Arabidopsis thaliana: one gene and its partners. The protein of the gene in region 1 interacts with the protein of each later gene in a pairwise test. Each region holds a gene or a part of one and is shown in the gene's direction. Other genes may lie near its edges.

What was found.
Region 2: the proteins of RAC10 (region 1) and ROPGEF1 interact in binary tests that used the Arabidopsis thaliana proteins (3 or more experiments, as listed by UniProt).
Region 3: the proteins of RAC10 (region 1) and ROPGEF4 interact in binary tests that used the Arabidopsis thaliana proteins (3 or more experiments, as listed by UniProt).

Annotation. Positions count from the first base shown.
Region 1 is NC_003076.8:25,231,201-25,241,478, forward strand, and holds RAC10 (RAC-like 10), read left to right. Parts: upstream 1-5,762; 5' UTR 5,763-6,035; coding exon 6,036-6,140; intron 6,141-6,600; coding exon 6,601-6,688; intron 6,689-6,832; coding exon 6,833-6,942; intron 6,943-7,050; coding exon 7,051-7,114; intron 7,115-7,204; coding exon 7,205-7,269; intron 7,270-7,362; coding exon 7,363-7,428; coding exon of another isoform or gene 7,429-7,499; coding exon 7,500-7,612; intron 7,613-7,702; coding exon 7,703-7,739; 3' UTR 7,740-8,062; downstream 8,063-10,278. Other genes in the region: AtVEX1 (Nodulin MtN3 family protein), read right to left, coding at 1-84, 155-191, 285-327; AT5G62860 (F-box associated ubiquitination effector family protein), read left to right, coding at 1,432-1,587, 1,841-2,341; AT5G62865 (uncharacterized protein), read left to right, coding at 2,864-3,367. UniProt on the Arabidopsis thaliana protein: Involved in local disassembly of cortical microtubules when associated with ICR5 and KIN13A.
Region 2 is NC_003075.7:17,980,253-17,990,530, forward strand, and holds ROPGEF1 (rho guanyl-nucleotide exchange factor 1), read left to right. Parts: upstream 1-6,131; 5' UTR 6,132-6,390; coding exon 6,391-6,658; intron 6,659-6,745; coding exon 6,746-6,862; intron 6,863-6,948; coding exon 6,949-7,469; intron 7,470-7,581; coding exon 7,582-7,935; intron 7,936-8,020; coding exon 8,021-8,407; 3' UTR 8,408-8,617; downstream 8,618-10,278. Other genes in the region: AT4G38405 (uncharacterized protein), read right to left, coding at 165-305; AT4G38410 (Dehydrin family protein), read left to right, coding at 773-964, 1,053-1,352; sks9 (SKU5 similar 9), read left to right, coding at 2,588-2,734, 2,833-2,942, 3,172-3,442, 3,531-3,636, 3,727-4,453, 4,554-4,632, 4,712-4,921; IYO (RPAP1-like, carboxy-terminal protein), read left to right, coding at 8,863-9,036, 9,225-10,065, 10,130-10,245. UniProt on the Arabidopsis thaliana protein: Guanine-nucleotide exchange factor (GEF) that acts as an activator of Rop (Rho of plants) GTPases by promoting the exchange of GDP for GTP. Acts downstream of PRK2 in the control of polarized pollen tube growth by activating ARAC11/ROP1.
Region 3 is NC_003071.7:18,876,985-18,887,262, forward strand, and holds ROPGEF4 (RHO guanyl-nucleotide exchange factor 4), read left to right. Parts: upstream 1-6,392; 5' UTR 6,393-6,555; coding exon 6,556-6,832; intron 6,833-6,897; coding exon 6,898-7,014; intron 7,015-7,101; coding exon 7,102-7,244; intron 7,245-7,330; coding exon 7,331-7,405; intron 7,406-7,484; coding exon 7,485-7,790; intron 7,791-7,875; coding exon 7,876-8,226; intron 8,227-8,333; coding exon 8,334-8,456; 3' UTR 8,457-8,745; downstream 8,746-10,278. Other genes in the region: AT2G45870 (Bestrophin-like protein), read left to right, coding at 1-188, 280-456; BAM7 (beta-amylase 7), read right to left, coding at 1,690-1,736, 1,816-2,035, 2,122-2,340, 2,426-2,686, 2,791-2,955, 3,074-3,268, 3,380-3,583, 3,665-3,742 and 2 more; TRM13 (Phosphatidylinositol N-acetyglucosaminlytransferase subunit P-like protein), read right to left, coding at 9,085-9,686, 9,781-9,952, 10,033-10,154, 10,241-10,278. UniProt on the Arabidopsis thaliana protein: Guanine-nucleotide exchange factor (GEF) that acts as an activator of Rop (Rho of plants) GTPases by promoting the exchange of GDP for GTP. In association with ROPGEF1, acts as a specific regulator of ARAC10/ROP11 function in ABA-mediated stomatal closure.

The DNA of each region.
Region 1 (10,278 bases):
ATGCAGTTTAAAACCGTAGCTACGTATGGATCTGGCTTAAACTCGGAGACCGATTTCATCTTCCATATCTTCACCATCGTTGGTCTGCACAATTTTCACATATGTCATTGCATGCAACAAAACAAAAAAAGATTTAATCATCATGTGTGCTTACATTGGAGCGCAGAACAAGCCGAAAGAAATCACGTTTCCTAAACATATAACAGACAAACAAAGACATGAGCAAATGTTTTTGTTGTTGATTGAATTAAACTTTATGTTTGAGTAAATTGTGGAGGACTTACCAACGATTCCGACGATCGTCCGGGCGGTGTGGGGGTCCGTCATTTTTCTTTGTTTCTAAAGAAGAATTCTTTATCTTCTACAGATTTTATCAAAGAACTAATTTATATTTTATAAAAATAAAAGAAGAAGAGAAACAAAATATGTTGATGATTTCGATTCTTCTTTTCGATGATTCTTGTTTATAATTTTTTTCTTTAGTACTGCGTTTCTTTTTTGTTTGTTTCTGATTTGTGATGTGAGTTTTGTTTGTTTGATGAAATAGCTTTTTTTTTTTTGGTGTGGTTTCTAGGTTCTGTTTTTGGTTTTTTGATATTTGGATTATTTTTGGTTTCTGCTTTATGAACAGAGAAAAAAGAAAAAGTGGATTTTAATAGTGAGTCTGTGAATCAGCAGAATCTGGGTAGAGTAACAAACGCATGACACGTGGTTTCAAATTTGAGCCATGAAGCCGTTGACTCCGCTCGTACCCCATGCATGAGAAACACCCGGCTCTTCACTCACATTAATACCTCTGTCTCTCTCTCTCTCTCTCTTTCTCTTTCTCAAACATAATTACATTTACTATTACTACATCTTCATTATGTATAAAGAGTTTGTTGTCTCATATTCATGTCATAGTAAATGTTGTGTAGAGCATCTTGTATAGTATATACAATAATACAAAGCAAGTGAATATGTGCTGTAACCAAAAACTTTGTTAATAGCAACTTGTATTGATGAATAAAGAGAAGAGATTTTAGTTTTACTCTCTTTTTAGGTTTACTATGTAAACACTTTGCTATATATGAATCACTTAATATTCCTTTCTCATCAAGCTACGAAACTGCAAACGAATTGAATCAAGATGAAGAGAAACAGAACACACAAGCCTCAGGTTTCAGTGTGAGGCGCATCAATCGAAAATACTAAATTAATCTCTCATTGTTTCTTAATGTTTTCCCTTTAAATGTAGGTCGGTTAAGACTTGAGATCTAAAACCTAATGGGACATGAAACTGGGCTGCTTAGCTTATAAACTCTTTTGTATTGCCAATATATAGAAAATATCCAAAAAAACAAATGTCATAAACCCCCAAAAAATGTCAAAAACCAAAAATATATATGTGTTTTTCTTCGTTCAAGTTTAATGAAATAGAAAACTGACACCATGAAGAGAGGACGCCAAGAGAAGAAGACCTCACGATCTCCAAAACGACGACAACAACGTCAGAACGAAATCTCCGAGAGAGAAAATTCAAACGGTATACATATCCCTTTCGATGTAATAACCGATATACTCTCGAGACTCCCTGTTAAGTCACTTGTGAGGTTCCAATGTGTATCGAAGCTGTGGTCATCTCGTATCACCCTCTTGATCATGACTCGGTCATTATTCTCGCCCTCTACTTATCCTACTAATGATATATCATTCATATACCCAGACAAAGACAGTAATTATACATTAAACCATGGGCGAAGTTGGGATTTTAAGTATCAATAATTTTCGAGGACTCTTCTGTTGTTGGTCAAGCTCGATCTATAAACATACCAATAGGAAAACGATTTTATTACCGGAGGTAAAACACGATAGATGGAGCAACTCGTGTGATGGATTGTTCGGATATGATCCAGTTGAGAAACAAGTTTTCACATTAGTGGGAGGTCCAATGAAGCAGCAATGGAGGAGCCTTGACATCCAAGGCATTTGGAATCACTCTCCAGAAGCTAGGAGTAGTGGTTTATGTATCAAAGAGTTTATCTATTACATAGCACATGTAGAAAGCTGGGATGATCCCGAATTCTATGAGCTAGTGAGGTTCGACGTTAGACACGAAAGCTTTGATCGTATTCAGATGCCCATAACTCTGCAGATGAATCAGCAGCTCAGTGAAGTGAGTTTCGATGAATTGACTTTGGTAAACTACCAAGGAAAATTAGGATGCATACGTTACACCAAAGCTAGTGCAGAGATGTGGATTATGGAAGATCATATTGAGCAACAAGAATGGTCTAAGATGATGATATTTGAGAAATTAGGTATTGCATCGCTGGTGTCAGTCCTAATGGTGAGATTGTGATAATGCCAAAGACAGTGACATCTGCTCAATCTTTGTACCCCTCGTACTATGATCCGAAATGTTAGTTTGTTGTACCCGCCGGATCACATTTGTTCAACTCGTTCCCTTAGTGAATAGTAGTTTTTATAATAAATATCAATTTTGTTTTATCAAGTGTATTCCTAAAAACATTGTTAGGAAAGTAACTATCTTATAACGGATTCTAGCTCAAGATATTTATTTTTTCTAAGACTCGTTTTCACCAGCCTAAGAAATTGTTTAACACTTTTTATGATTCTCAATCGTGTTGATCGATAATTGAGTTTCTAAGGTTTTAATATTTACAGCCATGATTCGTAAAAGTGTCAAGTGTGCATATAATAACATAGAAAAAATAACAATTTCTTAATTTATATTACAAGTGTCAAGTGTGCATATAATAAATAGGACCAATCATAATCCTTTACAGCTAAAACTTGAATCAAGTTATATTATCATCACGAGTCTTTTGACCCAAGAAAAAACTTCTCTGAGTTTCGGCCCATGGAACTTTCGCAGTCGGACCCAACCCGAGATCCTGATACCCGGTACGATCAACGTTGCTGTTGTTTCCCCAGCTTCCGCCGATCAAGAAGCTCCACCGCCGTTGGTTACTCCTCCTGGGGACGAATTCGAACCGTCGATGACAGTAATCACAGCGGCGACCACGGCGACGAGCCACGTTGGTGGATCCGAGCATCCTTGAAGATCCGAGAGTGGTCAGAAATCGTTGCTGGTCCACGGTGGAAGACTTTCATTCGTCGATTCAATCGCGATCCACGACGCGGCCGCGATTGGGACGCAAGCGAGAAGTTTCAATACGATCCTTTGAGTTACTCTTTGAACTTCGATGACGACGACGAGGAGGATGAATACGTCGGACTAGGTGGATTACGAAGCTTCTCGACCCGATTCGCTTCTGTCCCGGTTTACTCAGGTAAAGCTCCGGCGATTTCGCCGACGTCGTTGTCTGCGTTGACGCCGCGTAATGAGATCATTGAAAGTTAGTGGGCGCGTGTGAGAAACGCGTTTGCGTTTCTGGCGGCGGGGAAAAGGCTGTCAAAATGGTTGACTGGTTTGGTTTACATCGTTTTTGGAGTCTGTCGCGTTTTCTTATTTAATCATTCTGTTTATATAATCAACTTTGAATTAATTTTATTATTTTCCCAGTTTAATTAATTTATTTATCAACCAAATTTTATGTTTCTTGAAAGAGAAGCAATATTTTGTTTCTTTTTTGAGGGGATATTGAACTTGTTGTGGCTAATATAATATAATTTTATGTAAATTAGCTGTTTAGCATATGTGGAAGTAATGATTTAGTTAATCATGGTTGCTTGACATGATTTCTTTATTTTTATAATCTATACTCATTTTTAAAATTCCACTCAAAAACTTTTCTGTTTTCCAAAGATATAGTTACCGTTAAAGCCGAGTAAAGAGAAGAAACTATCAATCGTTTGGGGTAGTATGTAATGAACCAACAACACTTTTCCCAATTCAAACTTCAAACCTTTCTATTGGAAGCCATAAACGAATGACGATCATTGATCAAAACATTCAAATACATTTTTTCGTTTCTCTCAATTTATTAAGGAACTACATAACGATTTACATGTTCTAGAGAGAAAACTGTACCGAAGAATCGATTCACCTTCAGATTCATAAGAATGGTTCAAAATTCATAAGACCAAAAGAAACAGCAAATTAAAGAAAACAATAAAAGAAGGGACCGATAGGAACAAAGAGGGAGAAAACACGTGACCTGGCAAGGGACTTCCATTACGTGGGTCGGCTCGTTTCGGATGTGGCCCATATATTGAGTTGTCGGGCCCGTTGCATTTGTTTGTTGAGTTCATATGATATATTCGAAAAAACTTTTACTTTTTCAATATTAACCCAACTTCAAATCCAATAACCATATTTCTTACTGCCAAAACTCGGATTTGTGATCTTCAAGTCTTTTTCACTTTATGGATAATTTCCACTGTTAATCACGTTTTGCTTTTACGCGCATCAACTGTTGTGGAAATATATATTTATCGTTTGTTCTTGTTTCTTTTCAATGACGCTATCCTTACACCAGCACGACATATGCTCCTGTTACATGTCTTCCTTAGAGACCAAAAGTTATGGATTCACTTGTACACACATACACATATATTGATTTAGTTTAATGTGATTACTAGTCTCCTTTTGCGATTTTCGTTCTTACTAGTCTCTATATTTATCTGGTTTAGGCCATACTTTTGTCATTGTATTGTATTATTAATCAGCTACTTTAATTTGTACTTGTATTTTGGAGCTTTTGGTGGAAATAACTTGCAAAATACTAAAATATTGGACCAGAGAGCGATAAGTTCCCGTGGTCGTCCTTTTGAAGACCTCTCTAGTTAACAATACTTTTGCATTTTCATATTTATGGTGGTTGCGTCGCCGTCGATATAGTCGTAGGTATTACTCCAATAATTAACTTACCTTATAAAATAAAATCATTTATCTTCTGCTTTTGGTAGATGTTCACACAGTTTGGCTCCAACATCCACCTATAAATGATTATTTAAACACATGACAAAAACACTTTTACTTTCTAAACCATGAGTCTGCAATTATATCCATAAACAAACAAAAAGGAACTATTTGGTAAGAGTATTCAATTTTTAATAACTGTATTAAAAGTTGCTTTGTGAATATTGAGAATTTTTATTGCTGGTTGTTGCCAACGAAACTCTTGTTGGCAATTTTAAATATCTTGAGTAAATTAAATTAGATGATAAGTTTTTTTAAAAGTAGGTCCACATAAAAAAATCCATATATCCTAATATAATAAATGAATATCCTAAACTAAAATTACAATTTTAGAATTATCAGTTTTACACTTGTGAATTGTGATATAAGTAATGTTGAAAGGTTGGTCTTAGTGATTTTGCTATAAATTTTTGTTGCTATGATATTCTATTATTTTATATATTTTGTAACCCTAGCTTGTAAGTTATGCTATATACATTATATGATATGTAAGTCTCGAGAGAAAAACAAAAATAGCAAAACATGTATTCGACAGTACATGTTAATGTATACAAATATGGTATATCCATCTTCACTTGTCACTGTGTGGCTCAACGTGACACTATTATTAACTTGACGAATATCTACCTTCTCTTATAATTCGATTCGTAACGCCATACTTGTATGTAATACACATTATTTCATTTTCTTACAATCCAATACAAGTGTAATAAACACTTAAAAAAAAAAAAACAAGATTGAACCACCAAGATTTGGTTAACAAATTCCAATGCAAATTTGCTCGTTGGAGTAATAAATGAACTACAAGAATTTGGAAAAGGAAAGCTTGGACGATGGATCATGTGAGTCATCACCGCTCTTTCTCTATCTTCAAGTTCAAACCAAAAACAAGCCACCAAATACCAATAAACAATTTCGTTTATCTAATTGGAAATATTGAAAAAACAAACAGAAAAAAGTAAAAAAGGAACAGAAAAAAAAGCCATAAATTTATGCAACAAACCCTACCTTCTTCTATGCTCTAAAGAGGGTTTATTTATCTTTTACTCCTCTTTTTAAGTAATCTCACTTCATTTATCTCTCTCTCTCTCTCTATTTCTTTTGCTTCCTTTTGGTATTTGCTTTGTATGTTTGTTTTGAGATCAAAATGGCTTCAAGTGCTTCAAAGTTCATCAAGTGTGTGACTGTTGGTGATGGTGCTGTTGGTAAAACCTGTATGCTCATCTGCTACACCAGCAATAAATTCCCCACTGTAAGTTCTCTTTAAAAAGACCTCTCTTTCTCTCTTGAATTTTGATCAGGAATCTCATCTGGATTTATCAGATTTAGCTCAAATTTTACAAAATTTTAATCAATTTCAGTATCTGGGTCTACTAAATTTCAGCTTCTTATTGCCATAAAGGTTCTTAGAATCTATCTGGGTATGTCAAAGTTAGCTCCTTTTTCCTAGGAACTGTGCATGATATAAGATCCATTTTTGGAGATTTTGATTTTTTTTACTTTTCATAAGTATGTGTGGCGCATCTGGGTTTTTGCAGCTTTTGTGTATAGTCCAGCTTTATGTTATCTTTTTTCATTTAACATCCTCTGGAGTCTGGATTCGTCAGACTTTTTCTTCATTGCTATTATTATTATTATTATATGTATATATGCTTGATTTGATGATTGAAAGTTTGAAACTGTGTATTGATTTGATGAATTGTTTGTAACAGGACTACATACCAACAGTTTTTGACAACTTTAGTGCAAATGTTGTTGTTGAAGGCACCACTGTCAATTTGGGGCTTTGGGACACTGCTGGTATGAACACTCTTTCTGAGTCTTGAATCCTATAGTGGTTTATAACATTCTTATTGGTCTAGTTCTTTCATTTGGTTGATAAATGAGATCCATTGAATAGCTTTGTCTCATATGAGGTTACATATGTATATCCTTTGTTTGCAGGGCAAGAAGACTATAACAGATTAAGGCCTTTAAGTTACAGGGGAGCAGATGTTTTCGTCTTGTCTTTCTCATTAGTCAGCCGAGCTAGCTACGAGAATGTTTTTAAAAAGGTCTGATTGAATAAATGATCCTTTTCTCTAATTGTTGAAAACGATAAGACTCTTATAGTGTCAGAATGAGTCATTTCTAATGTTATATGACTGTTCTTATTGAGTCAGTGGATCCCTGAACTCCAACACTTTGCTCCAGGAGTTCCCCTTGTCCTTGTTGGTACCAAATTAGGTAAGAATAACCGATGAGCATTTACCAACAGATTCCTCTTAACCGTTTAGTTACAATTCATAGCTAATGATTCTTACAACACTGGTGTAGATCTTCGTGAAGATAAGCATTATTTGGCTGATCATCCTGGACTATCCCCTGTAACTACTGCACAGGTTTAGTCTTAAAGAGCCTTTTTACTTTAGATTTCATATAATTCCACTATAAGGCTTGATGGTATTAACTAAATGAACATTTCTATCTGATAGGGAGAGGAGTTGCGTAAGCTAATTGGTGCGACGTATTACATTGAGTGTAGTTCAAAAACTCAACAGGTATATGAGGCAGCTTCTTTATGTTACTCTTTTCTTCGGATTAACAAAGCGATGAAGTTTATATATTGCAGAATGTGAAAGCAGTTTTTGATTCTGCGATAAAGGAAGTGATCAAACCTCTGGTTAAACAAAAGGAGAAGACTAAGAAGAAGAAGAAGCAAAAGTCGAATCACGGCTGTTTATCGTGAGTATATATACAAATCTTTACAAACTCTGCATCTACAATCTTATGAAGGGTACTGATTTCACCTTTGTGTTTATTTTGTATGTGCAGAAATGTTCTGTGTGGGAGGATAGTGACTCGGCATTGATGACGATGACCCAACTCAGTCTGATGATTTTAAACTCCACTTTTGAGATTGTGTGATAAACGAGAGACTTTATATTATATAGATTGAATCATGTAAGAGATTATTAGCCTCTAATCAATCAATAGTTACCTTGAAGAGAGAAAGAGGGGGAGGTAGAGAGCTTATTATTAATTCAATTGTGTTTATTTGTTTCAAACCTGTTATTGCAATATATTAGCCATTTTGATACAACAGAGAAGCTCTCTCTTCCTTCGCTTAACCCTGTGAAGACAAGCAGTTATTGTCCTACATTAGCAATCAAGTAATTTTATTTTGTTTGTTAATGTTGATCTCTTGTCGTTACATTGTCCAGTGTCAGTCAAATCACTGTCCTCAAAGTACAACTGACCAAACTTTGTCTCTCTTGACATAGACATTAAAACTTTCTACATAAGAGTCTCATATTTCAGTAGTCGCAGGCTAATTCCAGTCGGTTCCAATGACACATTGTCTTCAAGATTTTGAGACAGCAGTTCCAAAGGTTTTTTTATCTTCCACCTGACCAAAAAAAGGAGATTAAGCCATAAAAAGATGGAAGCGACGAACTCAGTCGAAGACTTTCCGATGAGACTCGAGTACACGAGAAACGACCACTGGACTCACCAGACCAGTCCCAAAGGCAAATAAATAACGGAGTAAAAAAAAAAAAAAAAACGCCGAGTTTCATCTAAACATAATAGAACAAATGTCAATGGGTCCGAGAGAGCCTGTAAGAGCATAAATGGGCTTTAATCGGGCCAAATTAAATGTAACTCTTTCTGTTGTTGTTTTTCCGGTGTACCTCTCTCTGTTTTTTTTTTAGCTCTTTTTGGAAAAAGCAACTTTTTCTTGATTTCTTTTTGACGTGAAAGCAGGCTTTTCTGTTAGGCAGATAAAAGCATATTTTTATTACTTAAGACCATTTCCTTCGTAAAAGAAAGCAAAAGAAATATATAAACCGGACAAGGTTAAAAGATATGCGACACTTACACATCAAGTCATAAATTAGAAACAACAAGAACATGATTACTTATTTATTTGAGTTGGTGAGATCGGAGTTACAACACACAAGTTTCTATTGGGTATGGGGAAGAGAGAATGACAGGAAGAGCAGGGAGAGGGCTCGTTAATCTAAACCAACCATGACCCAAGTAGCCAACCTTTTTTTTTCCTCTTCAAAATTTCACATTCTTTATTCGAGATTATACTACTTATAAAGTATAATAACTAGCTCATTCAAACAAAACAAAAAGTGCTGTAAGGATAACACTATCAACGCGTGTTAAGAAAAGTAACACTTTTGAACTTCTTTTTACCATTGACAAATTTTAATAGTTACAACCATGTCATTGCTTTATTTAACAATTTTAAAAAGGAAATCTAAAATGTACATAAACCTTTAGCTAATTTACAAATATATCATATTCTTAATGCATCTACAACAACCATATTATGAACTCTAAATACTAGGATTTGTAACCGGATTCGGTTTATTTGGACTACAAAGAGTAAAAATGGACTTTGTCCATCTCATCTAGCCAATGTTTTATAAGATTCTATATTGGGTGCATCATGCATGTGTCTCTCTTGCTCACACCCTACATCTACCCATCGTTTCAGCCACAATTATGTATATATTTTTTTGTCTTCAACATTTTAGCTCATATGCACCAAATTTTCATGAAAATGTTTGTTTATCAATCATATTCATCATGTGTTGTTAGCCATTAATTTCGATGAGATTGCAAATCTTGAAAAAAAAAATGGAATTATGTGGGGGAAAAAGTAAAGAATGGCACATGAAGAGAGTTTTGCGTAATTCCCAAAAGTAAAGCCAGAAAGATTTTTCTCCCACCCCATGTGCTTACTCTCCCCAGTCCCCACTTTTTCTTAATTAAATTCATATTTCTTCCATTTTTATTTTTCGGCTTTTAATTTCTTAGCATACTTTTAAAAAAAAAATATTGTCACACTTTTTAGGCCGATTTTGACTGAGTTACACAGGTCAATAATGCTCCCAATTCGGCGGACTATAGTTATTTTAGTGGACATTTGTGTTAACTAATTTTGTGGCAAAAAGAAACTCGGAACAAATTAAACCATAACTGATTTAGACTAAATTATATAATGTAATGGCCATTATGTATTAACTAAAGACAAAAGTAATACTACGATCTACGATAATACAAAAAAAAAATTCAGAATATCGCGTCATTATCAACTTGACACCAACTTGTGAGTCTCCCAAACTCAATGATTATGTGGTCATTATCGGTGGTGTTTTTAAAAAATACTATGAAAACTCGCTCTCACTAATATCAAGTGGCTTACACACTTGATTGACTAATCAATAGTTTATCACTACTACTATAATGTTTCAGGCTAGATTTTCCATCACGTGCCAAAAAATTCCTTCAAACAATTTAGCAAGCTAACCATCAAATTTAATTACGAATTTTTTTCTTTCATATCCACGTGGCGGATATTCAAACTTAATTATGTGTAACATATGAATGACGTA
Region 2 (10,278 bases), on another chromosome or scaffold:
CGACTCTGTCACATCTACGGCATTCATTACTACATGTGATGATATCTTCATACTTCTCCCTCTCTTGTTTAAGACCCTATATCAACTGCTGATTTCTTTCAAGTTCTAATGATGGATAACAGATTTAGAGAAACACCCATGTCTTGTTGGGTTTAGGCTCATGACTAGAACAGGAAGAGTAAACCTTTGGTTCCTCTTCTTTTTTTAGTGGTGGGGCTGTAAAGAAGTCCAATGACGTGAGCAGCATTAACCAAAACCATCAAGTTTAACCCAATACTGGCCCTTTTATGTTTATGTAAGCCCATCTTCTGATTCGGCCCAATCAAGACACTTCAGTTAGCAGTAAGATTTTCAAACTTATTTTTCTAATAATGTCTAAACAATTTAAACAGTGCTTTTGCTCTCTTTATTGGATAACGTGGACCGTCCACACCGACAATCCATTGGTCGACGAAACGCAGAGTATTCGGACATGTACTATGTTTTTTATTACACTTTCCGAAAAAAACAAACCTTGTTCCGATCAAAGTCGGTCCTTAAAATATTGACTTGTTAGTACAATTTGCCGGCAACACCTTGGCTAAACGCGAACCGAGTGTTAATTACTATAAATTAACTGTAACTAAAATAAACAAACTAAAAGCTAGAGCTACTATAAATACAGTGTCGCAGGGGTTTGTGTAACTCATCAGTCCTCACAGCTAGCAAAGGAAAGTCTCGTTGGTAAATTAAAAGTGAGTCTTGAATACCTTGTTTGCGTTTTTCCTAAAAGATGGCGGATCATCCTCGTTCTACTGAGCAGCAAGAAGCTGATGCTGCAGCTTCCAAAGGCTGTGGGATGTTTGACTTTCTCAAGAAGAAACCCGAAGATGTACATTCTTCCGAGAATGCCCGTGTAACCAAGGAGCCCAAGGAAGAGGAGAAGCCTTCTCTCGCTGAAAGATTCCACCTTTCTGACAGCTCTGTAAGCTTAATTGTATACTCTTGTTCTTATGCATGAGAAATGTTAATAACACTTGTTGATGGAGGATGTGATATATATGTATATGCAGTCAAGTGATGAGGAAGCGGGTGAAAATGGGGAAAAGAAGGAGAAGAAGAAGAAGAAGAAGAAGAATGAAGTTGCTGAAGATCAATGTGAAACAGAGGAGAAGATTCCTGCGGGTATAGGCCATGAGGATGGGAAGGAGAAAGGGTTTATGGAGAAGATAAAGGATAAGCTTCCCGGAGGTCACAATGGAAAGCCTGAAGCTGAACCTCATAATGACAAGGCCAAGGAGAAAGGGTTTATGGAAAAGATCAAAGAGAAGCTTCCTGGTCATACCAATGATGAGAAGAAGAAGGAAACCTAGTTATAAGAAGACCCTTTTTTTTTTTACTTTCGCTTTTACCACTTGCGTTTTCATCTTCTTGTATTGTTGTCCACCTCGTTATGTGTCAGTGAAATGCCAACTTTTCGAATTGAACAACTCTTGAATCTTAAATAACTCATACTATTATAACATTGAAATCCTCAAGTATTTAAAACCTGTTGTTTTCATCTGTTAGTGAAAAAAACCTATGTATGTATGAAACGTTAAAACCCTAAATTTTACCACAAAAAAAAAACGTTAAAACCCTAAAACCGGCATCCAATAACCCATTAAACATATAAGAAGAAACCCATGCTTTCTGAGCAAGAAACGGTTCTGCTTAGTTAGGTTTGGGCTGACTAAAAAGGGCCCAAAAGGCCCATTTGAAATCACGGAAAATAGGAAAAAGTTCAAGGGGAAGGAGCAGCCAGAGACACGGAGAGTCTGTGTATGAAAGTGAAGGGAAAAGGAGATCGACGTCTCCTCTCAGACTCTCACGGGAAGAAGACAGTCTGTGACTTTTTGTGTTTCCAGCTGTTTTCATATCATTTCTCAATTCTCACTCGTATACCTGACAATTTGGGTTACCAAGTTGACCGTTGAAATTTGTGTTTATATAATAAGAATTTTGTGGACTATTACTAATTTACTAGTATTATTTTATACTTCCAGCATATATACATACATACATTGCTTCTTCATATTCTCTACGCGTTCAATCAATATTTCTCGTGTAGGCTGGCTATTTGTGCCAAAATACAACTCAAATTGTTTCACCCCAAAAAAAAAAAAGCAGATACAATAAAATAAAATTTATATAATTATATGTTAATTCTCATTTGTGTAAAATATTGAAGCAGCTTAAAATAAAATAAACCTCACAGTAAAAATGAAATAAAATACCTTGCAATTAAATGAGAATGCTTATTTTTAACAAAATAAAAAATAAATAAAAATCAATGCATCACCGGATTGGGATTTTATTTTCTTTCAAAAAAATAAAATAACAATCCCCAACCCAAAGGACAAAATAATGGGTATTTAATTAGTAGGTGGGGTGGCCTTATAATATATTACAGGTTGAAATAAAAACACGGAATTAGCTGATTGGAAAAGCTTCCCCCTCCCCATTGGACTTTAAATACGACACCAGAGTCATTTGTTCCGTTACTACAAAACAGAGTTGAAGCTTTCTCTTCCAACTTTATCTTCTTCTTCTTCTTGTCAAAGCGAGTATGTGCTGGTGGCTAAATGGGGCCGTTTGGACGATGATGATGATGACGATATCCATCATTTCTTTTGTTCAAGCTGATGATCCCTACCGTTTTTTCGACTGGAGAGTCACTTACGGCAACATTTCTCCACTTGGCATTCCTCAAAGGGTATTTTTTTTTTTTTCCAACATCCACAAAAATGGCGGGATGCTTTCTGTTTTTGTTTGCTCGATCATGCATGCTTTATATTCTATTCATACACGCAGGGAATCCTGATAAACGGACAATATCCAGGACCCGATATTTACTCAGTCACCAATGACAATTTGATCATCAATGTTCACAACGATCTCGACGAGCCCTTTCTCTTATCTTGGTACCATTTATCTAGCTCCCCTTCTCTACCATTTTCTTTCATTCATTAGTTATATTAGAGGAAATAGATATTGGAGTTTGGTAAATGGCATGATGGAGCCAATTTGCATGCACTAGTGTTGTTTCTTCACATTCTTGTTAGAGATTATATTGGTGGCGAGACGTCAAGTTTTCATGTTAATATAATATCAATGAATTAATATAATACAAAATGGTAAATACTAATGAAGGAACGGAGTGCAACTGAGGAAGAATTCTTACCAAGATGGAGTGTATGGGACGACTTGTCCAATCCCACCGGGTAAAAACTACACTTATGCCATCCAAGTCAAAGACCAGATCGGTAGTTTCTTCTATTTCCCTTCCCTCGCCGTTCACAAAGCTGCCGGTGGTTTTGGCGGTTTCCGTATCCTCAGCCGCCCTCGCATCCCCGTCCCTTTCCCTGAACCCGCTGGAGATTTCACCTTCCTCATTGGTGATTGGTTTAAGCATGACCACAAGGTATTTCTTTCTTGAATTAACAAATTATGTTCGTTTTAGTATTTGTCATTGTTATACAAGGACCATAATTAAATGTAACATTATTCAGGTTTTGAAGGCAATTTTGGATAGAGGACACAAGCTACCTTTGCCTCAAGGGGTTTTGATCAATGGCCAAGGAGTCAGTTACATGTCTTCCATCACCGTCCACAAAGGTTCATCCTAAAAACACTCAAATACTTTGATTACGAAGAAAAGCATTATATTATCTCATCATTTATTTTTTGTTGTGGAACAATTATCAGGTAAAACATACAGATTTAGGATATCGAATGTAGGGCTTCAACACACTCTGAATTTCAGAATCCAAGGTCATCAGATGAAGCTCGTTGAGGTAGAGGGAACACACACAGTCCAGTCCATGTATACCTCTCTCGACATTCACGTTGGACAGTCTTACTCGGTCTTGGTCACCATGGACCAGCCTGACCAAGACTATGACATTGTCGTCTCCACAAAATTTGTCGCCAAAAAACTCTTGGTCTCATCTACTATCCACTACTCCAACTCAAGACATAGCCACTCATCTTCTGCTAATTCAGTCCATGTTCAACAACCTGCCGATGAACTAGATTGGTCTATCAAACAAGCCCGGTCCATTAGGACCAATCTAACCGCGTCTGGGCCAAGGCCTAACCCTCAGGGTTCGTACCACTATGGTCGAATCAAGATTTCTAGGACTTTGATATTGGAAAGCTCAGCGGCACTAGTGAAGAGGAAGCAACGCTACGCCATAAACGGAGTGTCGTTTGTACCTGGAGATACTCCGCTAAAGCTTGCGGATTACTTCAAGATCAAAGGCGTTTTCAAAATGGGAAGCATACCTGACAAGCCGAGAAGAGGAAGAGGGATGAGAATGGAGACGTCAGTGATGGGAGCACACCATAGAGACTTCCTTGAAATCATATTTCAAAACCGCGAGAAGATCGTCCAAAGCTACCACCTCGATGGATATAGTTTTTGGGTTGTTGGGTGAGAATAATTAAAGATTAGCTATATCTATCGTCCTCTATATATAGTAGCTAGTAATAATGCATTGCATGCATCTGATGTTTGTGAGTACTGTCCACAGGACGGATAGAGGAACATGGTCAAAAGCAAGCAGACGAGAGTATAATCTTAGGGATGCTATTTCTCGCTCCACCACTCAGGTACAAATAGTTTCTAACTCCATATATCTTACCAAAAATTTTAAAAAATCATCTCAAAACTAGTATTTGGTTGTTGTAGGTATATCCAGAATCTTGGACAGCCGTATATGTGGCACTGGACAATGTGGGGATGTGGAATCTAAGGAGTGAATATTGGGCGAGGCAATACTTGGGTCAACAATTCTACCTTCGAGTTTATTCTCCAACACACTCTCTTAGAGATGAATATCTTTTGCCTAAGAATGCTTTGTTGTGTGGCCGAGCCTCCAATAAACACACCACTCCTTAATGACTCTACTCAGACCAATCGTCAATGGCTGATTTAGGGATATGTATTTTATTATATTGAGTTCTTTATTCTTTATAATTTCAATAGCTAGATATATGTTGCACAATTATTATATATACTTCAAAAATTGTAATGTATACCCAAATTTGATGAAAATTTTACTGTTTTGTAACGGTTATTGCTAAGTTTGAAGTTAATTTTTGTAGGCAAATGCAATGTTTTCATATGAATCAACCAAGTAACTCTACCATATCACCAAGCAAAATAGTATAGTTTGAAGAGAGAGAGTAAATTAAAAAAAAAAAAAAACCATACATAACATATTAGAAACATTAATTTCGAATAAACAGACTTTAACGATGAAATAAAAATTTAAATTATTATCCACCGGTAGATGTAGAATGTTTATTGGTATAGAAAGTTGTTCTATTTGGTCAAAGTTTTTGTTGACCTTGCAATTACAAATTACAAGGCTGTCAATCGAATGAAAAACATGGCAATGGAAAAGATTTGCTAATAATGCCAAGACAAACAAACGTTTATTTGGAAGGTTAAAAGCCTTTTAGAGAAGAAAAAAAAAGAGCAGAGAGTCAACTAATTAAGCCATGCATGTGAATCAACACCAATCCATAGCATATTCTAGTGATCAGTGACATTAATATTGTAGATTACTATATTAACCCGAATTCAAAGGGCATTAAATAGGTACTTTAATGAATTGAATTAAGAAGAGTAATATAATCAACGGCTTAGATTCGTTGCGTGAAAAAACCATAACCGAAAACAGCGGAATCCACGAAATAAGTAAGCCAAACGCAATCTAGACCGTACGATGTGAATACTTTAATGACGCCAGAATACTATGGACAGTGTAGATCAGGCGAATGGGCGTAATACACGTGGCGTAAAATCACGAGGATAGATATGGTGCAACGTAGTTCAGGCCGGTGTGGTACGAGAGAGTCTGATGATCCGACAAGGAATACTTCTAGTCCACACAATGTCAGCCTTTCTTTATTTTCTCGGTCGCTTCGAGATTCTCAATTCTGCTCTGTAGAAAAGATCCTGATGGTTCACTTTTAATATCCAACGGTTGATATAACACAAGCGCATGCTCCTCTTATGAGAACGGCCGTGGGATATAATTTAATCTCGCCGTTAAAAAATGTGACGACCGTGAGTTAACGGTTTATCTGTTACCAACCTCATACCTGTCCCTAACGGCAGAGGATAACGCCGTGAGTATGGATGGATGGGAGAGAAAAGAAGAGAGAGAGTGTGAGTGAGGAAATGAAAGGAGTCTTTTTTATTTGTTATCTCTCATCTCTCTCTCTCTTTCTCTCTGAGCTTTGCTTTTTATCAAACAAGCATCATCATCACATCCACTTCCTTCTTCTTCCTTTCTCTGTCTGTCTCTTAACCCAAATGTGGACTCTTTGAGCCGTTATTAGATCTCTGCCGCTTCAATAATGGGGAGCTTATCTTCTGAGGAAGACGACGAAGTCTCTTCCGAGAGATGCGGAAGTTACAGTCCCAGCGCCGACATTAGCGAGTCCGAGAGTTCCAGCAGCTTCTCCTGCCACCGCTTCGACGGCGAGGGTGCCTCTAGCTCCATCCCTTCTTCCCCTCGAGTTGTCGCTGGTAGAGGATTTTACTTCCCGGCCCCAGTCATGCTTCCGGTGATCGGCGGCAAAGATGTGGTCTGGGATGACAAACAACCAGACAACGATTTATCCGGTATAAAAGTTTCCAAATTTGACCTCTTTTGTAAACATTGATGAACACTAGGATTCAATTTCCCTTTTGTTTCCTATTGGGTTTCAGAAATTGAGATGATGAAGGAGAGATTTGCTAAGCTACTTCTCGGGGAAGACATGTCTGGTGGAGGTAAAGGGGTTTGTACGGCGCTTGCTATCTCCAACGCCATCACCAATCTCTCTGGTACCATCTCAATCTTCTTCCCTTTTTGTTAGTTGGTATATATAGTAGGGGTTTCTAGTTTTTTAATAAGGCTAGTGTCCACACAGCGACTGTGTTTGGCGAACTATGGAGGCTTGAGCCTCTTGCTCCTCAGAAGAAGGCCATGTGGCGCAGAGAACTTGAGTGGCTGCTCTGTGTTAGCGATTCTATCGTTGAGCTCATTCCTTCCATTCAGCAGTTCCCTGGAGGCGGAACTTATGAGATCATGGAGACCCGTCCACGTTCTGATCTCTATGCCAATCTCCCTGCTCTCAAGAAGCTCGATGCTATGTTGATCGATATGCTTGACGCTTTCTCCGATACTGAGTTCTGGTACACTGATCGCGGCATAGTTCTTGGTGATTGTGACAAGGATTCTTACAATTCTCCAGCTTCCGTTAGGCAGGAGGACAAGTGGTGGCTGCCTTGCCCTAAGGTTCCGCCTAACGGTTTGTCAGAAGAGGCCAGGAAGAAACTGCAGCAGTGTCGGGACTTTGCTAACCAGATTCTCAAGGCTGCATTGGCAATTAACAGTGGCGTGCTTGCCGAAATGGAGATTCCCGACCCTTACTTGGAGACTTTGCCCAAGGTATGCGCCTTCTCGAGCTCAAGGATTAGCTTTTTCATTGCTGCTGGAGCATAAATTCTTTTACCGTTATATGTGATTAGCTCATTGAGTTATGATTTTAAACTTAATGCAGAGCGGGAAGGAATGTCTTGGAGAGATCATCTACCAGTACTTAACTGCAAACAAGTTCTCTCCCGAATGCCTCCTGGACTGTCTTGATCTCTCATCGGAACATCAGACTCTTGAAATCGCCAACCGGATTGAGGCGGCTGTGCATGTTTGGAGACAAAAGAATGGGAGGAGGCACAAGAAGCAGGCGAAACTAAAGCTGTCTTCTTGGGGTGGCAAGGTTAAAGGCCTTGTTAATGACAACGAAAGAAATGATTTCCTTGTGCAGAGAGCCGAGACCCTCTTGCAGAGTCTCAGGATCCGTTTCCCGGGACTTCCCCAGACAACGCTGGACATGAACAAGATTCAGTACAACAAGGTACATTATAGTTTGGAGTGTGCTTTGCTGGTTGCATCATGAAACGATGCTTAGATAATTTAAGAGTTTGTGTGTGTTCTTGCAGGATGTAGGGCAATCAATTCTGGAGAGTTACTCTAGGGTGATGGAGAGCATGGCCTTCAACATCACGGCCAGAATAGATGATGTGCTTTATGTTGATGATGCCATGAGAAGATCCATCTCTGTCACAGAATCGCTATCCCTATTCAGCATCAATGGACTCAACCCTCAAAAAGCGTTCTCTGTGCAGAGCTCTCCGCACGGTTCACCATTTGCAACGCCTGCCCTAAGTGTAGCATCAAGAAGCCCGAGGAGAGCACCGCCGCTGTATTCAGTGAAGAGGAATGGGACGAGAGAGAAGGGAATAGTGGGAGAAACAGAGAAAGCATGGTCGTATGCAGGGAATCTGAGTTCAAGAAGAGTAACGGGAGTGACGCCGGAAAGAGATTAAGATTGAAAATAGAAGAATGTAAATCAATGGTTGTAGAGACTGTAGTTGTTTCTTGTTTGTCTGACTACGAAGACGAATGTGGTAATAGCAACAAGAATGTTATCTTATGTGGAGTTTTGAAATGTTGTTAACAAATCAATTCCTTAGCTCATTTACCAAGTTTACAAAGATTATGGTCCAAGTCCTAAAACTGAATGAACATCACATACCCGTCTCTTGAGTGATTTAATCATGTTCTTCATTGCACTAAAGCGACAACTTTTGGTTCAAATATAGACTATGACTATATGGTTTGTTTTGCACAGGATTAAAGTTGATGTTCCAATTTTATAATTAAAAAGTCAGAAAGGGGTTTTCTTGTTATTTTTTACTTGTTCTTATAAGCTATCGGGACGACACGGAGTTTTAAAGAGTTTTCCGTTTTGCTGAGCGGAGGCGAGAGAGGGTTTAGAGTGATGGAGCAAAGTAGCGGGAGAGTCAATCCGGAACAGCCGAACAACGTCTTGGCGAGCCTTGTCGGGAGCATCGTGGAGAAAGGAATATCGGAGAATAAGCCTCCAAGCAAGCCGCTTCCCCCAAGGCCCTCCCTTCTTTCCTTCCCCGTCGCTCGTCATCGTTCTCACGGACCCGTAAGCCAATCCAATCCTCTAGTGCGTGCTTTTTAGGTTTCCATCTTCCTTTTGTTGCCTTCTTCTAGATTTTAAGCACCTTCTACTGTTGTTTAGTACTTGGGACTCCACAATTTTTCACCGTGCCTGACCTTGTAATTCAGCTTTCTGAGACATCTAATTTTTGTTTCTCATGTTTGATTTTGTAGCATTTGGCTCCTGTGGGAAGCAGCATAGCACAACCTAAGGATTACAATGACGATCAGGAAGAAGAAGAAGCAGAAGAACGTTTCATGAATGCAGACTCCATTGCTGCTTTTGCTAAACCGCTTCAAAGAAAAGAGAAGAAAGACATGGACCTCGGGAGGTGGAAAGATATGGTCTCTGGGGATGATCCTGCATCCACACATGTCCCTCAGCAATCAAGGAAACTTAAGATCATTGAAACGAGACCGCCCTATGTTGCTTCAGCCGATGCGGCCACTACATCCAGCAACACTTTACTGGCTGCCAGGGCATCAGACCAGAGAGAGTTTGTTTCTGATAAAGCACCGTTTATTAAAAATTTGGGAACCAAGGAAAGGGTTCCTTTAAACGCTTCTCCTCCCCTAGCTGTTTCGAATGGACTTGGGACTCGACACGCGTCTTCGTCTCTTGAAAGTGATATTGATGTTGAGAACCATGCAAAGTTGCAGACAATGTCACCCGACGAGATTGCTGAGGCTCAGGCTGAGTTATTGGACAAGATGGATCCTGCACTACTCTCCATTTTGAAGAAACGAGGTGAGGCAAAATTGAAGAAGCGAAAGCATTCTGTGCAGGGGGTTTCCATCACCGATGAAACAGCAAAGAATTCAAGAACTGAGGGTCATTTTGTCACTCCTAAAGTGATGGCAATACCGAAAGAAAAAAGTGTGGTGCAAAAGCCAGGGATAGCCCAAGGATTCGTGTGGGATGCATGGACTGAGAGGGTTGAGGCAGCCAGAGACTTGAGATTTTCTTTTGACGGGAATGTTGTTGAGGAAGATGTTGTCTCGCCAGCTGAAACTGGTGAGTAGAACAATACAACTGAAACACATGACAATCTTAGGTTGCTTACACTTTGACTGTACAGGTGGAAAGTGGTCTGGTGTTGAATCTGCTGCCGAACGTGATTTCTTGAGAACCGAGGGGGATCCTGGGGCCGCAGGTTACACTATCAAAGAAGCTATTGCTCTTGCACGAAGTGTGGTATGTATGATTGCCACATATTTTAATTTTGAT
Region 3 (10,278 bases), on another chromosome or scaffold:
TACAGGAAGGAATTGGTGTATGTGAACAACTAATGGGAATTCCGATTCCACTTTCCTACACACGACTAACGTCGAGGTTCTTAGTCTTATGGCATCTAACACTCCCTGTTATTCTCTGGGATGATTGCCACTGGAATGTAGTCCCTGCTACTTTCATCAGTGCTGCCTCTCTCTTCTGCATTGAAGAAGTACCTAACTTTTTCTCGTTCATAGATTAGTCACATTTTTTTTTTCTTGCCTCATTATCACTCTTTAAGTTGGTGCTTGAAATGTCTGCAGGTGGGTGTTCTTATAGAGGAGCCATTTTCAATGCTAGCTTTAGATGAGCTATGTGCTATGGTGCTTAGTAACAGTGATGAAGCTGTTGAATCCAAAGAGGTCATACGCAATCGAATCATCGCAAAGAAAAGGATCCTTGAAATTAAGCACTCATCAAATGGTTGGCATAAATCTTGAAGTAATGGATGCCAATATACTCTGTGTGATGGCTAACTTAGGTTTTCTAATGTATGATTAATAGACTTTTGGTCATTAAGTGTATCTTCCTTAGTTCCTTGTGTCTTGTGATTGTAGATATGCAGTGTTTGCTTCTACGGCGGTGACGTTTACGTGCGTTGGTTATTTTTGAGGTTCTTATTATTAAAAATTCAACAGTAATTTTCTGACACAGAATAAACCAAAATAGCCAACAAACCATATATATTAAGATGCTTACTTCCATCGTTGAGTAATGATGATAAATTAATCTCAACTGTAGAAGTTGGTAGTATGGCTAATAAACAAAAATCAAGACAGTTTAGCCAAAGCCAAAATACAAAATCATGAACGTTTCACCGTATTTTTAGTATAGTATTTTATAAAACCTTAAAAAATAATATATAAAAAGAGAGTTGAAAACCTTTAAAATAAAAAAATAAAAAATAAATGTTAAAAATATATGAAGATGCAAAAAATATGTTGGATTTGTGGAATCGCTAATGATTATGGTTAAATGATGGGATCTAAAATCCAGTTAGCTTTCAAAACGTCGTATTAGTTTAGTTTATAAAACTTTAAAATAAAATTAATAATCAAAACAAAAACTAAGGTAAACAAAAAAAAGAATTTGAAAACCGTTTAAGAAAATAAAATAAAAAAAATAAATACTAAATATACATGAAGATGTGAAAAATATGTTGGATTTGTGGAATCGCTAATGACCACAATTAATTAGCCGGATCCTAAATCCGCTTAGATTTCACAACGTCAAATTAACCTAGTATTTGAAAAAAAACTAAAAAATATCTATAAACAAAAATTAAAGGAAAATGAAGAAACAAAAGAAAAAAACCGTTGAAAAAAGCAAACAAAATTAAAAGGCCCAATAATCCTTGAGTGAATATTGGTTGGTGGTACTGATTATTTATAAAACATATATACACAAACATCTGATTTATGCTTGTCGATGTGGGACCTTTTGGTTTTCTACGTTAGGAAGAATGCCTCGTGAGCTATGTCGGTGCTGATCTCTTTTTCTTGATGTTAGCCCAATAATAATAAAGCCCATATTATTTGAATTTTCTTTGTAAGCTTGTACAGTAGTTGCCTTAATTTTTTAATGACAAAATTTACAGAAATGATGGTAAGCTACTAAAATTAACAACATTTAACAGTAAATAATTTCAGCAGATCCAGGGACAAAACAAAACTCTAAACCTGTTGATGATGATGATGATGATGATTCATTACAGCTTCCCCTGTAACGACCAAAGAAGAAAGATCAGAAACTTCAGAGACTTCTTCAAACAGAGAAAACAAAGATTCCGATAGAATTACCATGCAACTTCTTGACAAACCGCTCAAATTCGACAATGTTATGTCCTTCCATGAGAGCTGGGACGAGTCTACTATAGGCAAATGATGACAAATGTTTTCTATCTGGATCGTTCCGAAACTTAACGCTTTCTAACATTTTGTTATAACCAACTCTATCATGGCAAGCAAGCGAGTTCTCTCGAGCAACCGGTGTACCGCTGTCCCAAGCAGCGTTTAATACCTGCAAAAAAATCACGTTTAGATTGAGGTTTTGGAGATAACTGATAAGCACAGGCTTAAGAAACTGATATGATGTGTATTCTTTACCTGCCAAGCTACTGCCTCAGGTTCTCCTAATGCTCCTGAGAAATCATCTGGACGGTTTAGAACTTGCACTTCTCCGGATACAAAACTCAGAGTGGCACCATGCTTCTTAAGTGTAGATGCAATTGCAGAATAACCATCTCGGTTGCTCGGGTTGTAGAATCCAGCGGTTAGCTCAGCGGCATGGCTTGCTGTTCTGTACCACCAGTGGACGTCTGGGAGCTGTTTAAGTCAATTGTGATGAAATTATGACAAAAGGTCTAAAATTTACAGGGTTTCAAATGCCTTAGAAAACTAAATCAATCACCTTTGCTGCAATGCAGCTACTGTCGAAGACTAGTTTAGCGAGACAGAGGATTTGGTCAGCATGGTCTATCAAAACCTGTGAGTACCATTTGAGAAAGAATCTTCCATAGAGGCCATCGTAGTCACCTCCATCACAGAAGAAACCGGTTCCCTGCGGCTGAGAATTGTAGGAGCCGGTGTTATCTGGGCCTCGAGCCCAAAACAGGTGCCCCCTTGATTCTGCTGCCTTTCTCAGGCTCTTCGAGAGATACTTGTCATAACACTGTACCGGTGCAAAGGAATGGTCATCATGTGGAAGCCAAAAAGGTAAGTTAGCTGGTGAAGCTCGAGTATCTCAAGAATTTAGATTGTTGAAAGGAAATATACCTGAAACTCTCCAACACCTGGATATCGCCACCCGTGTTTTATGGGACAAGAAGGGTACCGTAACTCTCCACAGGGGCCTAGTCCAATTTCAACCATAGATATTACACCATCCTCTAGAAACTCTGCAAGTTCTATCCGAAAACTTCTCATGTAATCAAAGTACACCTAGAAATAAATTCACCAAAAAAGTGATTCATGAGTTGGTTATTTCAAATATCTGTGATAACAAGAAGCAAATATTCATGTGTAAAGAAAAGACACAGCATGGACACAGTATCTATACCTCAAGTGCAGTTCTGCCTCTTAAAATACGTTCCTTGTCAATACCCCAAGAAAGGCATTCTGGGTTTCGTCTTCCCTCTCTATCAGTGAAATATATGTCCGGATTGGTTCGTCCTATTTCTGCCACCCAATGAGGAAGTGGGATGCAAACATCATCACCAACATTGCCTCCACATTCATGAAAGGACATTAGAACCTAGCAAGAAAGAAAGAAAGTGAGATACATATGAAGCTTGAGAACAATCATTCTAACGCAACTTCATTAAGAAAACTGTATCTTAACCAATCATGCAGGTAAAAGACTGACCTGTATCTTAAGATTAAGATCGCGGACCATCTGAAAAAGCTGCCTGTAACCAGTCCAATTATACTCCTGGGGGGAATGACCCTCAACTATTCCCCACCAACAATCCACTTTAACCCCATCAACATGGATTGATTTCAATATTCGTAAGTGCTTTAGCAGTCCATCTCGATCAGCCAATTCACACTTCATATTGATAACCCCAAGCTGTTGACAGAACAGGATATGTAGTTAGTAAGGATGAATTTCAGGATATTATTGGTAAATGCTAAGATTAAAGTGGCTTACTGGTAACATCACATAAACCGGAACATAAGGAGTGCCAGAGAAATCTTGCTCCGTCAGATTTGGAGGAATCTCGAGAATCTACCAAATACCAAAAGTGGAAGAGAGTCATCACAATTGAACCCAGATATGTGTATGCACGTAAATCAACCATGCAGTGAAAATCTGACAGGTTCTTATGAGATTTTCAGATTTTGAAAATGTTTTTCTCAAGTTGAGGAAACTATCAAATTCATTAATTTCAAATAAGCTATGTAAATGCAAAGGACTGAACTGTTACAAGATTTATTTTCTATGTACTAGTAAAGTGTCGTTACTTGTTTAGAGTTGATAACATCGACTGAACAACCAACAAGCCCCTCAGCCTTATTTACACTGCCAACCAGTTCTGGAGATTGGATTGGGAGCATATCATACGGTGATGGAGCGGGTGTGAAAACACCTTTCATACGGCAAGAGCTGAGTTCCACTGGGCTTCTAAGCCCAGATGATACCACTCTAAGAGCAGGAGGTGAGGTTTGCTGTGATGCAATGTGAGAAGCTGATGAACCTGCCGCAACCGCAGAAGAACCACCAGTAGGCTTTGTCCCCTAAAAGGTTGAGCAGATCAAGAAGATGATTTAGCTTTCACTGGTAATGGATATGTCAGGAGTTTTTCCCCAACCGAGGATCAAGGTTACTGCTAATGATTTCTGACAACTAAGAGTAGAAGAATTTTGCAGCATACAACAAAAGACATAACACAGGGACAGGGTATATAAGTACCTGAGATTTGGATGGAAAAGTAGTTCCATCAGGAAGAACAACCCATCCAGCTTCCCTTGCCAAAGCCGCGATAACATCGTTAATATCAGCTCTAACTCTCAGGTTATAATTCCCATGCCTTCGTAACCCGCCTAGTATCCTTGCAGTTATAGCCCTTCGATGGCGCTCTCTCAACTTAGTTCGCTCCTTCTCTTCAAGCGGTCTACTTCTGCGACTTCCTCCTCCCCCAGGAGTGCCCACTTGATCTTGCATTGACTGCTGAAACATAAACTCGTCATTACTACTACTGCCTGAAGCTGCGTGTTTGTCTCTATTTCGTCGGTCTCCATCATCTTCTTCCTTCACATCCATGTCCATTTCTTCGTCATCATCCTCTTCACTAGTTCCAAGCAGTTTATGCATATCCGTCGCCATTACTTCTCTTATAACCCAACCACCCAAACCTCTGTTAGTTTAAGAACGTTATTGCCCTCTTATGATGAAATGTTCCATCTTTACTTCTCTGGTTTTAACACTCCACGTGTAATCCTTCTGGACAATGCAGCCAAATATTCTATGATATTTCCTTGCTTACAGTTAGTTAGAAAATTGGAGATAATTTTAGTATCAACGAAATTAATCTTCAATCTCTCAATGTGCATAAGCTGCTCTCAGTTTAACTTCATCAAAGATCCTACAAGACAAAAATCAAACATATAAACAGCATTTTCAACTACAAACATATTTGCAGACATTAAAATGGAAAACTTTTGTGACTAACGAAACCAAACAGAGACTATTTCAAGCACAATTGAGATTAAGTACCTAACCATATATCATTGACCTCTGTGAGTAAGAGACACTAAGCACAATTCTTTCAACAATCACAAGCCTCCTCTCGAAATTGGTCAGAATTCTCGGCCCTCTGGGCGAATCATCGAGCAATACTAAAAAACCCTATAAATGGAGCTTCCGATCAAAGGTTTCCCCCTCTGTCGCCGTCAGCGAAACCAAGAGAGAGGAGAAGAAGACGGTGGATCTCCGGCGGGTGAAAAGAGGCGGATCTGGCCGTGAGATGGAGGAAGCGCGTGAAGGAGCGTGCAGCGTGAATTGGAAGACGAGCTTTCGCGCGTGTGTAGCGCTCGAGCGTGTCTGAGAGAAAGAGGAGTGTGTGAAGCTAAGGCTTGGCACGAACTATGCGTGTGTGCGTAAACCAATTGAAGAGTAGAGACGGGCTCATTAAACGTGTGAAGGGAAGCACGTGCCACCACCACCATCACGAGATTACGATGCACTCTGCGGCGCACAAGGCAAGGCAGGGAGATAGTCACGTGACTTGCCTGACCAGACACAGTTCGCATGATGTGATGTCTAATTATGGTCGTTTGAAAACAGTGTTCACAAACTGCGTGCCGTTTTACTCTTGTAGACGTGGACTTCATCCCGGTTTTAAAACCAAAGTAAAGTCTTAGACATTGACCATGGCTTCATTGGCTTGAACCTTCTTCCTTGTCTCGAGGGTTTACGTTGAATGTCAACTAAAAGTTGACCAAAAACATTCGTTACAAAACAAACTCAAATGTCATTAAAAGATGTTGTAAATCCGATTTAATTTTGATGACAATTACAAATTTGAGATTATTATTATTAAAATGATCTAAAAATATTTAATGTCTACAAAAAAAAATTAGTAAATGACATTTATACGATGTGATTCTAATTGTTATGTCTACATTAATAATTTGTAACTAAAAACATGTGAACCGAAAATAATAATTCCAATAGTAACATTACTCTCTGAAAATTGCAATAACATGGTGTAAATGTCATTTAGAATTTAATTAGAAATGAATGGGACAACCTTTACTTATTAATTATACACCTAACGCATATATAGCAACTAACGTTCATTATGAGATTTGATTAGCCAAATGTGGAAGGCACGTCTCTCCCCCACAATCAGATCGGACGGCCATCATTCGTCGGAGACAATCATAACTTAATTTTTAGTCATTAAATAATAACTCAAGCTGAAGAGGAAGAGACTCCATGTATTAATCTTTGTCACGTTCATCAGAGCCAGAGGAGCCAACAACGAAAGAGAAGAACTTGAAACTCACCAAAAACATTGATCATTATACACAATCGTGATGGAGAGTTCTTCGAATTCCGACCAAAATGAGGGAACTCCGACGAGCTCTGTTTCTTCGCCGTACCGGAGAACATACTCAGATATCTCCGGATTATCTCACCGGTTCGACGTTCAGAGCTTTTATAACCGGCCGTCAAACACTAACGCTGTTGTCTTGAGTGGCCATGAAGAAGATGTCTCCGAAGACGCCGAGGAACCAAAAGATGATGTCGTCAACGACGTCCACGGAGATGGAGACGAAGAAGACAGCGACATTGATTCTGCAGAAGATGCAGGTAAAGTGTTTAAGATTGTAACTTTCTTCTTTTGTCATTTCGTTAAATCGGGGTTTCTAGTGCAGAGCTAGAGATGATGAGGGAAAGATTTGCGAAGCTGTTGCTTGGTGAAGACATGTCAGGAAGTGGGAAAGGAGTTTGTACTGCTGTTACTGTGTCAAACTCCATAACCAATCTCTATGGTTTGTCTTCTTCTTCTCTTTTCAAATATGCTCTGTTTTCAAAACAGAGTATTTATAGTGTAGCGTGTGTTTGTTGTGTTATTGCAGCGACTGTGTTTGGACAGAGTTTAAGGTTACAACCATTGAGTACAGAGAAGAAAGACTTATGGAAACGAGAGATGAATTGTTTCATGTCTATTTGTGATTACATTGTCGAAGTTATTCCAAGATCTCTTGGTACTAACGTTGAGGTAAAATACTATTTCAACACTATCTTAATTTTGACACACACAATTTAAAACGCTAAAAAACCGGTGCGTTGATGTTTTAATTTCAGATAACAGAAACAAAGCTAAGATCTGATATTCTCATGAGTCTTCCTGCTTTGAGAAAACTCGATAACATGCTAATGGTAAGTATAAGACTCGAATTAGACTGATAGATAATCAAGATTCAAAAGATTTCCAACACGACTTGTTTGACTTTTGTAGGAAATATTGGATAGTTTTACGGAAAACGAGTTCTGGTATGTTGAAAGAGGAAGCTCATCGATGAACTCGGGTGGTGGTGGTAGAGATTCAGGAACGTTTAGGAAAGTGGTGGTTCAACGGAAAGACGAGAAATGGTGGCTTCCGGTGCCATGTGTTCCTGCTGAAGGTTTATCTGAAGAAGAACGAAAGCATTTGCGTCACAAACGCGATTGTGCCAGTCAGATACATAAAGCAGCATTGGCCATTAACGATTCCACTCTTAATGACATGGATATTCCTGATTCTTACCTCACCACTCTTCCAAAGGTATAAAAGGATAACTTGCGACTTCCATATAAATGTAATGTGAAAGTTTTGAAATCAACTCGGTGTTGTTTGATTTTATGTACAGAGTGGGAAAGCAAGTGTAGGAGACGTGATTTACAAGCAACTGTGCACAGCCGAGAAGTTTTATCCCGACCAGCTTCTCGACATCTTGAAGATCACATCTGAGCATGAGGCGCTTGAGCTCGCCGACAAAGTTGAGGCTTCACTAGTTACGTGGAGGCGTAAGACTGGAGGATTGACTCACTCTAAGTCCTCATGGGACATGATGAAAGATATCAGTGGCGATGCAGATCGTGGCAATGACAAGAACCACATACTTGCGGCTCGAGCCAGGAGCTTACTCTTCTGTCTGAAACAGAGATACCCTGAACTTTCTCAGACCTCACTTGACATCTGCAAGATTCAGTTTAACCGAGTGAGTAGCCCCAGCCATTTTGCATATTGTTTTAATTAAGATATCGATGGAAAATATCGAAATTATATGCTGAATATTCTTGTGTGTTGTTTTATTTTTTTGGTTAGGATGTGGGAAAGGCGGTATTGGAGAGCTATTCAAGGGTTTTAGAAGGTTTGGCTTATAATGTTGTGTCGTGGATTGATGATGTTCTTTACGTCGACAGAACAGTGAGAAACAGAGATGATTAGGGTTTTTCATACTGAGTTTTTTCTTTTGAGAACAGATTAAGTTCTTTGGGATGTAATGAGAATACCAAACAAATGTGTATGTTTTTTTCTTATGATTTTCTGAATCTTTAAAAGGAATTCTGAACCAATAATACCAAATGAGGGTGAACAAGAATTTCAACCACACACAGTTGATAGAAGATCTTTAATTTCAGATGTTCTTTAATCATCACTAGTGGCCCTAATTTGCCAAAGAGCTTAATCTGTCAATTTTTTTTTGTCTTGGATTGTTTCTTGACTGAAACACAATGAAGCAATAGAGATGGTCTTCTTGTTTAAGTTCAAGCCTTGTTTTATTAATCCTCATATAACAACAACATACAACTAACAGAACTCAAAACTTTACAGAAGCCAAATGGAAAAGAAAACATAATAAGGACTGAAAGAAACAAGACAAAGAGTTTCTTTTGCAGTCGTTGGGGTATTAAAAGCTGTGGTTGTGTGTATCTGCACAAAAACTGAAAACTAGAGCTTGTCCATTGAAGTGGACGTGAACCTGTACAGAGTAAACAGAGGAGCCTCTTGATGACCATGAGTGTCTTTCTCGAACAAAAGTTTACTTTCTGGTAGTGATCTGGAGCAGTGGGATTTAAGGAACCAGCTTGTTGATTCTTTCAGGTTGGACCAAGTCTCTGCAATTGCTGATTATCTCTTCTAGTAGTTCATCAAGGATTATTTCACCTGTTTCAGAAACGATGCAACCAATATCAAAGCGGAGATCCATCCAGTTTCCAGTCCTAGCCAGGTCTTTCCGCACTATCTGGTCTAGTGTGTGAGGAGATGGCAAAGGTAAGAGATGCCAGTAAACTTCTTCTTGTACCACTTCAACAGCATTTTCCATGTCTGGAAAAAAGTGCATTGCAGGTTTGACGAATGAAATCCAAGGGCCATGTCCACAAAACTCCATAAGAACTTCATTGATACAGTCAAAAAGGAGTTTCTTATCGCTGCAGAGATTTGTCGAACAGAAATCTATGTCATCCATTAGAGCCTGCTCAAGAATCTTCTCCGAATAAAAAGATCTCGCCAAAAGCTCTTCCCAGTTCAACTCTGATGATTTCACCACGGCTTGAATGTATTCAAGTGCCAGTTCCTTGTCGTCCATTCTTGTTTTGACATCATTGTCTTTCTCCGGTCCTGGAAAATCAGGTTCGTCGAATCTTATGCACAGTGGTTGCATCCGCATTTCGGCTATATGAGGCAATGAAGAAGGTCAGAGACTAAGATTTGAACAAAAGTTTTACTAGAATGCTGAAATGGTGTTGCAAATTCTTTCTAGGCACACCTGAAGAGAACCTGGAGCTGTTTGGACTAGTGTCATCATCTGTAAAGAAAGGCTCAAGCACAGATACAGGACTTGACTTTCCCAATACATCTGTGGTGTTTTCTTGGCATTCAGACATTCTCACTGAAGAGTTTGGTGGAGAACACGGTGATTGTCCCTCTTTGAGTACTTCCTGAAAACATGATAAAGCAGGAAATATGAGCCTTCCTTCAAGAAATATGTATCATCAACAAAAGAAAGGATTCATCAAACCTTTTCCAAAAGTTGTTTGTGCTCATCCTCATCAATATATGCATCTTGTTGGATAATGGAAGAGCTAATTGCTTCAGACAACGAATCCATAACAGTCTGCTCTTCCTCTTCCATCCTAGTGTCTGACATACAAAATCAAAAGCAATTAGTTTCATTTTGACAAAGCTGAGAAAGAATCAGATCAAACGAAAAGAAGAAAATTAATCACCTTCCGGAACTGGCATAAACTCTGTTTCTTCATGGTTG